Caenorhabditis elegans: one gene and its partner. The protein of the gene in region 1 interacts with the protein of each later gene in a pairwise test. Each region holds a gene or a part of one and is shown on either strand. Other genes may lie near its edges. The genes, in order: pals-17 and lin-31.

What was found.
Region 2: the proteins of pals-17 (region 1) and lin-31 interact in a two-hybrid assay, tested with the Caenorhabditis elegans proteins (2 studies listed by BioGRID).

The regions. Positions count from the first base shown.
Region 1 is NC_003281.10:1,389,792-1,393,847, reverse strand, and holds pals-17 (Protein containing ALS2cr12 (ALS2CR12) signature), read left to right. Parts: upstream 1-1,995; 5' UTR 1,996-2,013; coding exon 2,014-2,056; intron 2,057-2,101; coding exon 2,102-2,150; intron 2,151-2,199; coding exon 2,200-2,287; intron 2,288-2,338; coding exon 2,339-2,427; intron 2,428-2,770; coding exon 2,771-3,074; intron 3,075-3,119; coding exon 3,120-3,302; 3' UTR 3,303-3,398; downstream 3,399-4,056.
Region 2 is NC_003280.10:3,980,618-3,987,603, forward strand, and holds lin-31 (Protein lin-31), read left to right. Parts: upstream 1-1,931; 5' UTR 1,932-2,036; coding exon 2,037-2,203; intron 2,204-2,837; coding exon 2,838-2,919; intron 2,920-3,255; coding exon 3,256-3,336; intron 3,337-3,711; exon of another isoform or gene 3,712-3,903; intron 3,904-5,466; coding exon 5,467-5,850; 3' UTR 5,851-6,412; downstream 6,413-6,986. Other genes in the region: K10G6.5 (Serpentine receptor class gamma), read left to right, coding at 6,921-6,979. UniProt on the Caenorhabditis elegans protein: Lin-31 regulates how vulval precursor cells choose their fate. It helps specify three alternative cell fates in vulval development.

The DNA of each region.
Region 1 (4,056 bases):
TCAAATTACCGTCGATTCAAATCTAGATTAAACCAAATAAAACATTATTTAAAAACAAATTGAGGGAAAATCGATTTCGAAAAAAAGAAACACATTTTCTGTAGTGCAAATTTTTTACAATTCTCGATTTTTTTAAAAACATCTTTTTATGTATCAAACCATGAAAGCGGTATTTTTCAACGCTAGCAATGAATTCAAAGTGTGGTGCAAGAATCGTGCGCAAAACTTTGAAACTCCGACCAGTTTTGATTGACGGAGCCTTACACATTTTCCCAAAACATCAAGGGAAACTTGTTGTACATAATCACCGAAATTATAAATTTAAATTCAAAAACAAGCTGTGAGGAGTGTGCTGTTTTATTTATCATTTTCAGTACTGTACAACCTAAAAATTCAATTTTCATAGCGCAATGGCACAAAATAACAGCAATTGGAAGCATTTTGAGAAACATAAATAGGATGTACATTGAAATAGAACAAATATGCACTATTTTTCTGTGAAATCTAAAAATTACTATACTTTGATAGTACTAAGATGCATTTTACAAAATAGGAGACCCATAATGTTTGTTTTATTTCCGATAAATACCCTGCCATTAGATATTTTTTGAAAATTCAAAAAAAAAAACGAAATATGCGTTCTTTGTATTTTCTGAACTAAAAACTGCAACCATATATTCAAAAAATCTACTGGAATGTGTTTTTCTGATAAATATTTCCTTATTCTCCCAAAAATATCGATGAAAAACAGGAAAAACACTTTCAAAGTTTCACTTTTGATTCAGAATGCAAGCGCGCCCCACTGCACACTTCAGGATTCTCATTGGTTAAAAATTCGTGCCCTAGGTTGCTGTGCGGAACAAAAACGAGAGAGACGACGATAAAGTGGAGCAAAAAGGAGAAAAAAAGAAAAAAAATTATGTTATCTACACATTTCATTTTCCTTAAAAGGGTTGTTATCACTTGAAAAAGTTTCCTGCACCTACGTCATTTTTCTACTCTTTTCGGATGTTCATATATTGCTTCAAAATTCTCATGTGTGAAAAATAGGGGATTTAAAAATTTTCCATGACTTCTGGTCGTGACGTTTTCTTTTATATTCTTAGTAATAGTACCGAGTACTATAATTTAAGACAATAAACTAGGACTGCTTAAAGGTCTAGTCCCTCTAGTGGGGTACAGTTTAAACAATTATTCTTTGAAGTATACTTTTTTGGAAAATCCCCGGAAAATGCAAAAATCGGGACCCAACATATTATCCGCCGACATCTCACGAGTTTCGCGGCTTGCTGTGTTTACCGTGACAGTTACTACGCCCTCATCGTCTTACGTTGCTGACGGCGTGCCGCACTGTCACGGTAAACGCAACGGGGTGCAAAACTCGTGAGATGTCGGCCGCTGATATTTTTTGGGTCCAGATTTTCGCATTTTCCCATGAATTTCCGAAAAATTTTTGCTCAAGACATTTTTGAATGTCTTACAACTTGAAAGGATTGTTTCGTTCCTTTCTAAATTAGTTGTTAGTTCCCAAAGTGTTCTCACTGGTAGATCATGCATAACGCGAGCCAGAAGCCAACGCACTGTCCTCCGGTAGCCACGGAAAGGTAGAACTTGGAGAAATTCCGTCAACTAATAAGTTTGCAGATTCGTAGTCTAAAACACACATACAAGTGTGATTCATTTTCTTACCATTATCAAAACAAAGCAGTGAGCACCCGTCATGTAGTGACATTGATTCAATACATTACTACATAATTATAGACCTTTCATAATACTCCCAGTTGGTTGCTCTGTCTTTATTTTTAGTACATTTTATAGACAACTAGCATGAACTTTTGAAACTTACTTGCGACCTCCTCAATGTTCATTTTCGAAACAAAACGTTTCAGTTATGAAATTTTCTAACGAAACTTCTTGAGCATAAAAGTACTAGTAACTCTCACACACGTCCGTTTTTTGGAATTTAGTGCCTCGTTTTTTCCAAATTTAACTTACAGAACCACCTCGCCAAAAATGAATTTTTCATCAAAGTTTTCTAGTGAAAAGTCTATCAGTGGTTTGTTCCTTTGACCAAGTCAAAATTGTAAAATTAAGTTTTCAGCTCAACAAAGCAACCTGCTGAGAAGAACATTTTCGGAAGGAAAAGAAATGTAAAACCCATAAGTCTCAAAAGTCTAAATAATGCTTTTCACCCTTCAGACAGTTTTTTATGGAGAGGCAAGGCGATTTTGCTAGACCAGAGCAGTCAAACCTTAACTACATGGAACCTGAATATTATGAGTTTAAGGTATATTTTATTTTGAGAATATATAATAATACTTACAGTTTCAACTTTTAGCCCGGAAACAGGAAGTTATATTCAAACAAAAATGGAGCATTCCAGAAAACAAGGGAAGAGGAAATGCTAAAAAATTTTGAGGATGAAAGGTTAGTGTTTTTATAGACGGCGTGCTATTTGACATATACGGCCTTCAAACTTACAGGCCAGTGCCAGGTAAAACAGATTTGGAACTTGCGTTTTTTCACAAATATGCATAGTTCACCACTCCCTGGTCTAACCAAAGTCCGCCTAACAGATCTTGCACACTTACTGAACAATTCGAATATATTGTTAGATTATTCCTAAAACAGCTCACCTTTTACGCGTTGCTTTTGAATATAGCTCATTATTATCAACACTATTGGATATTTTACAAATAGTCTTACCAGTCCAATTGTGAAGTATTTATTGCTACCCTTAAAGTAAAACCATACTTTGTAATTTTAACAGGGAACATTTGGAGCAGGAACACAACTTGAAAATTCACAAATTAGAGAATAAGAGGAAAAACTACATTGCTTTTCTAAAGCTCAAGAACAGAAACGAAGCTATGAGGTTATTTTCAAAAATGGTCCGTTTACTGCGTGAAATTGAGAAGGACGTGGACAATGCAGTGGAAAATGGTATTTCGGATGAGTTGTTCTCCGATAGCATAGAACGCCAAATTCAACAATTTGAGGAAGAAACTGAGTACTTTGAAAGTTTTATGATAAGATCTAGCTACATTGATGCGGATATATTTGAAAAGTTATCGGTATGTACAATTTATTGATTCAGTAAACATTTATTTAAATTACAGGACCAAGTTCTCAAAATGGGAGAACTTGTTAACTACTCGAATCTCCGATCTTTGTGCGTTCATTACCAAATAGCTTGTAGCAATAACGATGCCGAGAGAGTGGAGCTGTACAAGGATGATCTGAGAAACTTTCATCTCGATTTACAGGAAATGGCTGATATTTGTTCGGATTTTAATGTATAATGAAGAATATCTTTTTGTTTTTTTTTGTAAACAATTACCGACTTTTTATCTGAAAACTTACCTAATATGGTCTTAAATAAAGATCTTTAACGTGTTGTTTACATACATATGCCGTATTTTCCACCAAGGTCTTCATGCAAGACTAGTTTGACTGTGTTGTAGGGAACTATTTCAAAGTTTCAGATAAGTTATTGATGTTTTAATGAAACAATCATGTTAAATTTGTTTCGACTAAAACTAATACGTCACTTGAGTATTCGCACCACATTTTTTGATTTTTCAAATAGAGAGTTATGGAAACGCAGAAAATTGAAGAGAAGTAGTTGCTTATCAACACTTCTACAAGGTGATACATTTCAGTCGGCTGTACAATCGTCATCAAAGTTTATCACCCAGAATGGATACCATAACTGATAACAGTTCTAGGAGCATATGTATATAAAAGTCGATGACAGAAAATAGGGTTCTCACTTTGGAAAATTTATCCTAATAGTAAGATATTGTCGTATTATTTTTTGTTTTTTTTAATTTATCATAGTTTGTAAGCCAAACTTTTTGGTTAAAAATGTCTCATCTACCGGTGCCATTGAATTATTTTTGCAATAAAACATCTGAACGTGTTCCAAATTAGACCAAATTTCACAGGAACAATCTTTGGATATACACTAACATGTTCCAAACGTTTCGTGAGATAAGAATCACTGGGAGCCAAGTACTGGGCTCAGAAGCACTGAAAAGTGGTACAGGACGGTCC
Region 2 (6,986 bases), on another chromosome or scaffold:
CGCGCTCTCCCCAGGCAGGCAGTGGGGAAGAGATGTCCTTTATGAAGGAGATTGACGGGAGGAGGAGGAGGAGGAAACCGTTTTTGATTAACTGGTGGATGGCATTGCGGTTTTTATTCTTCCGTAAGGACAACTGGTTCTTTTTTCTTCTATTTTGATGTCTTCGTTTTGTCTTTACTGGTCTGTCTTCGAAGTTGCTGAGCTGATTTAGAACATTGTAAATTTGTAAGAAAATTGATTTTTATCAACATAATTACGAAGTATCACGTTTTACGTGTGTTTTTAGAGTTTTCAAGTAAAAAATTTGAAATCAGCGGTATTCAAAACCTAAACCTTTTCACGGGGACTCGATCCCTTGACCTTTTGCTCCAAAGGCATTGCTCTTACCCACTGAGCCATCCGTGGCGCCGTTTTCTTAGGGCGCCGTACCAAGTGGCGCAGTGGCTAAGAGGGACGACTTTGAAGCAAACGGTCATGAGTTCGAGCCCCCGGGAGTTGATTTAAATTTTCTGATTACGACTCGCTGCGCCCTAAAGGTCCCTTTAGCTCCCCATTGATCATTTATCCCAAATCTCATTTATAAAATCTTTGTCCCGAGACAAACCCAGTCATATTTAATTAGAATAATCACTACCCTTTTTTGATTCTCCCACATACAATTTTTTTAAACCGAGAGTACGGTAGGTAATAACAATTTATGGAGAAGAATATTAGGTGATGAGAATGGGTGTCTCTACTACTATTATATATATTACTTTATTCATTCATTAAATTATGGTGGTGGTGGTGACGATGAGAAACTTTACGGAATTTATGAGTGAAATTGTTCCAAAAAAGTGGTGAAGTGTCAAATGGAATATCTAACTGGGAGGGGGGTGAATAAGGACAATGGGGTTAGTGTACTCTCGAGAATATGGAATTAGAAAATGAGGAAAACTTGCAAAAAATGGAGCTTTGAAAAAAACTAGCTGAAAACATCCTTTCAGAGTTGGATTTTAAGATTTTAAGATTTCTCTAAATCATTGTAGTGAAATTTTCTACTGAGGTTTTCTAGTTTCTTTTTCATTTGGTATACATTTTTTTGTAGAAAATGTTCACCAAAACTTTTTTCGAATGCATAATAATTCAACATTTTCTATGCTTTTTAAATTATTTTTCTTGTTGCAGAAAACCCAAACTACCGTACTTTTTCACTAGGTGGTCTCCAAACTTTAATCCGTTATAACTCCACAAATATTTTTGATATAAAAAAGTTGTCAATTAACAAAATGTGCAAAATTTTATGACCAATATTTAATCAGTTGACAGTTTTTTGATATCTCAGGTAACCGCAGAGTTATGAGCGTTTGAAGTTGAAGCGTGCTCTAGGCTCTCCAGGTGACCCAAATATTTGAATATTTTAGTAATTCTCATGATTTTAAAATTGTCCAACAAAAATTCAAATATTGACACTAATTCTTCCCACCTAGACACCCCACCATTCCATGGACTAATCCCGTTAATTCGAACGCTTCCCCCCTACCGCTCTCGGTGTCACTCAAAATTTCAAACAAGTCGTGACAGTTCTCGGGTGGTCTGATACCAGTTTACCTACATTTTCAAAAAAAAACACAATCAACTCTTTCATCTTCAGTATTCCAGTGAATCCCGTCCCACACCAGATGCCCCAACTCAGCGGGGGCTGCGTGATACCCGGTCAGCAGCAGCACCAGCAACAGGAGTAACTGGTTCCTCCCAAATATAGGTTAGTGATGTGAATGTAAAACAAAGACTTATTTTTCTATTAGAAATGTGTTGTCATTTTCCTTATTACAAGTTGTTGCCTTTTTCCCTTACGGGCGGTCTCGGTAAGCGCTGTCTCCCCGTTGGCCAGCCCCGCCCACTCAACGCTCCGCCCTTCTTCTCCTTCTAAGGCTTGGCTTCTCAAACAAATTGACTTTTCCCAATCGCTAAGATTTCAATATATTTTGATATATTCCAAAACCTTCTTTATTAATTATCAATCCAAGCAAAACTCTATACATATTCCCTGAAAAATGCCAAGACCCGGAAAAGACTCGTACGATGAGCAGAAGCCACCGTACTCGTACATTTGGCTCACCTATATGGCTATTCAGGACTCTGACGATAAAATGCTCCCGCTCACGGAGATCTACAAATATATTATGGATCGGTTTCCGTTTTATAGGAAAAACACGCAGAGGTATGAGTTGGGGGTTTGAAAGTTTTTGAGCTCTAAGAAAATTTCTAGTTTTTCTAAAATTCCTGTGTTACTGAAACCCAAAAAAGGGGGGTTTTGTCAATTTTTCCAAGAATCCATTTTTTAAGGCCATTTTGTGAAAAATTTTCAAGTTAAATTTAACAAAAAAATCTGACATTGAAGTTTCCCTTTGTGACTGATTTTGCGTTTTAACAGAGCTTTGAAGATTGAAATGTTTTTTTTCTGAAATTTCGATATTTGTATTTCCATAGTTATTTTGCTTTGAAAAAATATACAAAATATGCTCAAAAACTCCAAATTTCATAGTTTTCAGTCCGGTTTATTTTGGGGTTTTTTCTCACTTTTATAGATTAGTTCTTGTAGTTTCCCCACTTTTATAAGAAAAATTATTGGGTTCAAAAATATGCAATTTTCAATGTTTTAAACAAAAAAAAGTCCTAGAAATATATTTTCGAAGTTTTCTCTTGATTTTTTTATAGTTAAAGTGACTTAAAAATATATGAAATTTCCTTTAAAACAAACAGAAAAATTCTCTAAAAAACTCAAAAAGTGTATTCATTAGTTTCAACATTTCAGAAAAAAAGATAAAAATCAGCTCAAAATGTAATGTTTTCAGGTGGCAAAACTCCCTGCGACACAACTTGTCATTCAACGACTGCTTCATCAAGATCCCAAGAAGAGCCGATCGTCCTGGGAAGGTAATATTTGTAATTTAAAAAAAAATAAAATTTCCGAAGTTATTAATTTAATTTTTAAAAACCTAAACAATTTGCAATTTTCAAAGATGAATTTCTAGCAAAAAAAAGTTACATACTATATATGGGTTTTTCCAAGAACTCGTTTGCTCTCTTTTTGTGCTCTTTTGCCCTCAATGAGCACATGCTCACTTTATAGAACCAACAAAACAACTACCGTAGTCCTTAGAGCTAAAGTAAATCTGCAACACTTTTTGCTCATTCTGCAATTTCCATGTTAAATCCTGTGATAATTTTTTTTCTAAATTTCCGAAAAAAAAACACCGTAAAAAATTCCAGGGCTCCTACTGGGCGGTGCACCCAAATGCCTCCGGAATGTTCGAGAACGGCAGCTGCTTACGGCGTCGGAAACGATTTCGGGTAAGTCTTCGGTTACTGTACTTATCAAATTGTGTAAATTAATGATCTTATCACTTCAAAGAGAAACGCAAAAATCTCCAACAAAAAAAAACGAAAAATTGATTTAGAGAGGGCGCGCGCGTGCTTCCCCCTTCACGATTTTGAGAGAGAAAGACAATTCTACAGTAATCCTCAAGGTTGGTCGATGACAGAAAAGGCGAGAAATTTGTTTTAAATACGATTGAGAGACTATTGGGGGAAGAGATTATGATGAACGGCTGCAGGATTGGATAAGACTTTGCAGATTTTGATGTGGGGTACTGTAGTTTAAAGGGAAGACTGTGAACAAATATTTAAGATAGTGTGGCTATGCGCAGGCTTAGGCTTAAATTTAGGTTTAGGCTTAGGCTTAGGCTTAGTCTTAGGCTCAGTCTCAGGGTTAGGTTTAGGCTTAGGCTCAGGTTCAGACTTAGGTTCAGGCTTAGCCTATTGCTTAGGCTTAGGCTTAGGCTTAGGCTTAGGCTCCGGCTTAGGATTAGGCTTAGGCTTAGGTTCAGGCTCAGGGTTAGGCTTAGGGTAAAGCTTAGGTTCTGGCTTAGGCTTAGACTTATGCTTAAGATTAGGCAATGAAGAGTACCTGTGTATTTGGTTCAGCCGAAATTGCGCAACTTTGAGAATGTACAAAATTCTTAAAAAATTGCAGAGTTGGAACTTTCAGAAATCGCAAATGCCTTCGGAGAATAGGAAGCTTCGGCACTGTGGTTTTGGTACTGACCTGCAATTTTCAAATCATTCTGCAAAGTTTTAAATTTGACAAAAATTTTTTATCAAAATGGTTTTGAAACGTTTATCTACATAGGGTAATTAACCTCGCCCCCCCCCCCCCCCCCCAAAATATTTTCAATTTTCACTCAATTTTACTCAATACAATTAAACAGTCATATTAAGATGAATTGACTTACGCGCGCGAAATACTCTCCTCCCGGTACTACCCAATAAAATGTGCCATCTGTTGCAATAGTTGTACTCCTACTACTTCTACGGGGGGGGGCAACAGATGCCTCCTATCCAATATTGTAGTGTTATGTTGAAATGAAAATGAGTGACTTGTGTCTGTGTGTGTATGATGAAGTAGTTAGAAAAGAGGACAAAGAAAAAGTAATAAGAAGTTGCAAGAGTTTGTTTGAGTGGGGTGAGCGGGGTTTGCACATAACTTTAAATTTTTTTCAACTATTCGGCTTGGGAACTCTACACCTATTGAAATATAAGGCTGTAGGCAAGCACTTAGGCATGTAGGTAGGAAGAACGGGGACATGACTATGCAAACAGGTATAATTCTGTTCCAATGTACTGTTCCAAATATCAAATCCTCCATACAGTCTGTCCTCCAACCACAAGCCCATTAAAATGACAGTCAGGCTGTCCAGCGGGGGGTCCCCCGCCGAAAAAGAAGGGCTGTCGCGGGGCGCTAGCTAATATGTGACACATATACATATAACTGTATCACTTGTACATGTACATAAGACGGATTGGAAACAAAAGTGATTCTCTTTGCCTATGGTTCATTCCATTTCGCGCAATGTTTTAGGTAGTACGGTAGATTAAATGGCCTTGGGGCGAGGAGGGGAGGACTAATCACTTGGAGGGGAAAGAAGAGGCAAGACAAAGATTGATGCGGTTTGAATTTAGATATTTAGGTGGTGGAGCGAGGTGTCAATGTTTGTCAGGTGCCTGATTTATTAGTATATGTACTTTAAGAGATGAATTATAGAAGTGCTGCAAATTTGAAAGGCATAACTGTAAGGTACCTTTTAAATTACTACCGGCATGTGGTGTCAAAGTGTTTCAGTTCGGTTTGATCTACAAAGAATGCTGGAGAAGAGACGCAGACTTTTTCGGGGCGGTGCTCGGGAAGAGCTGATTTACGTCGATTTACAGTTTTCCTCGTTTCTAGAATTTCGTAAATCGACACAAATCGGCTTTTTCCGCGCCCCGTCCTTTGGGTCCCGGGATGTCTCTGTCTCTTCAACTATCTACACTATCTGTACTGGTAATAGTGCATTTTCTAAAATTGAATCATAAAATTTTGCTGTAAAAGTTGAACGTTTTTTAAACACAGTTTTAAAAAATATTTAAAAAATTCAATTTCAGGCTCGCGGCGGCCAAGACGACGACGACGACGACTTCCACCACCCGGCTCCATCGAAAATCTCTCGCAAAAATCCTCTTCCACTGCTCCCGGAGCCCCCAATAACCCCACCACTCCTCTCCTCCCTTTTCCCAAATCTTCCACCATCACTCCCAAATTTCTGCCTGTTTCCTCCAGGCATGGATCCTACAAAATCGTTGCTTCTGAACCCTCTTTCCCTACTTTTAATGCCCCATTTCTTGAAAAATTCTTCGAATTTTGAGAGCTCGACTCCACACTCTGAAACATCGGAGATTTCTGGGTCGGGATCTTCATCGTCGAAGACTCCAACTCCTGAAGCTGGCTTCAACTCTTCTTTCAGTATTGAGTCGATTTTGAGCTCTTGAGCTTTTGAGCTCATCTCACTACCTTTTAATTATTAAAAAAATAATATTTTCATTAAATTGTGCCACACATTTTCCTGTTCATTTTCTGTCATCCTGTCTTTCTTTTCTTGTTTCTTAAGATTCGATTTTCTATTTCAATAATGTGCAAATGCGCTCTGTTAACCAACTAACCGACTAACCCAACCTAGCAGCCGACATTTCACGGGGCAAAACCTGTAAACTGTCGGCTGCTAAGCGGAGGACCTACTAACAACTGATATTATCAATGATAACATTCCACACATCCCAGCTCCCAATATTTCCATCGGTGTTAACTTTTTTCAGATTTTTTCTGAAGCTTAAACTTCAGAATGTCAATTCTGTTCTAAACCTAGTCCCTATACATTTGAAATTATTGATTTTCTAGATTTTTCTTCTTGTGATAAGTACTTCTTGTACTCTGTTCCCCAATATTTTTTGTATTGAATATAAAATATTTATTAATTTCCCAGGCTCTTTTTAGTCATAAACAACCAAATAACGTTTTTTTTTCTCCAAATAATGAAAAAGTTGCCAGTGGTTAGTTTGATTTTTTTTACTTGAAACATCAATTAAAAATGCCAATTTTTTCCAACGCTGCCGTAATTGTTGTTATCTTTGATATTTACCGTGACTCTCTCATATCAAATTTTTCCCGAAAGACTACAGAATATTCAAACAATACGAATGCAACGATATCGATGAGTCAATCGAAATTTGATAAATTGTTATGTCGAAATACTACGACTCCTCCTACAATTTGCGTATAAGAATAGCGTCCGAATTCTTATACATACGCTCAAAATTCTTTAAAAATGGATTCAAAAAAACCGTATAAATACTCTACTTATTGCTTTATTTTTCTCAATTGTATTCTCGTGGTGTTTCAACGGCATTTCGGTTTTTTTGCCACAATGGAATGTAGATGACACGGTAGATCAAGTTAGCCTTTTTCCGCTGGATTTACTGGTTAGATTTATCTTTATCTTTATTTCACTTGAATTAATCTTTAATTGAAGAACAACCCGCCATACTTCAGTGCGGTCGCATTGATGATGCTTCTTTCGTTTTGTGCAACTGTAGCTATCTCTATGTTTTACATTTTTTCTTTGTGAGTT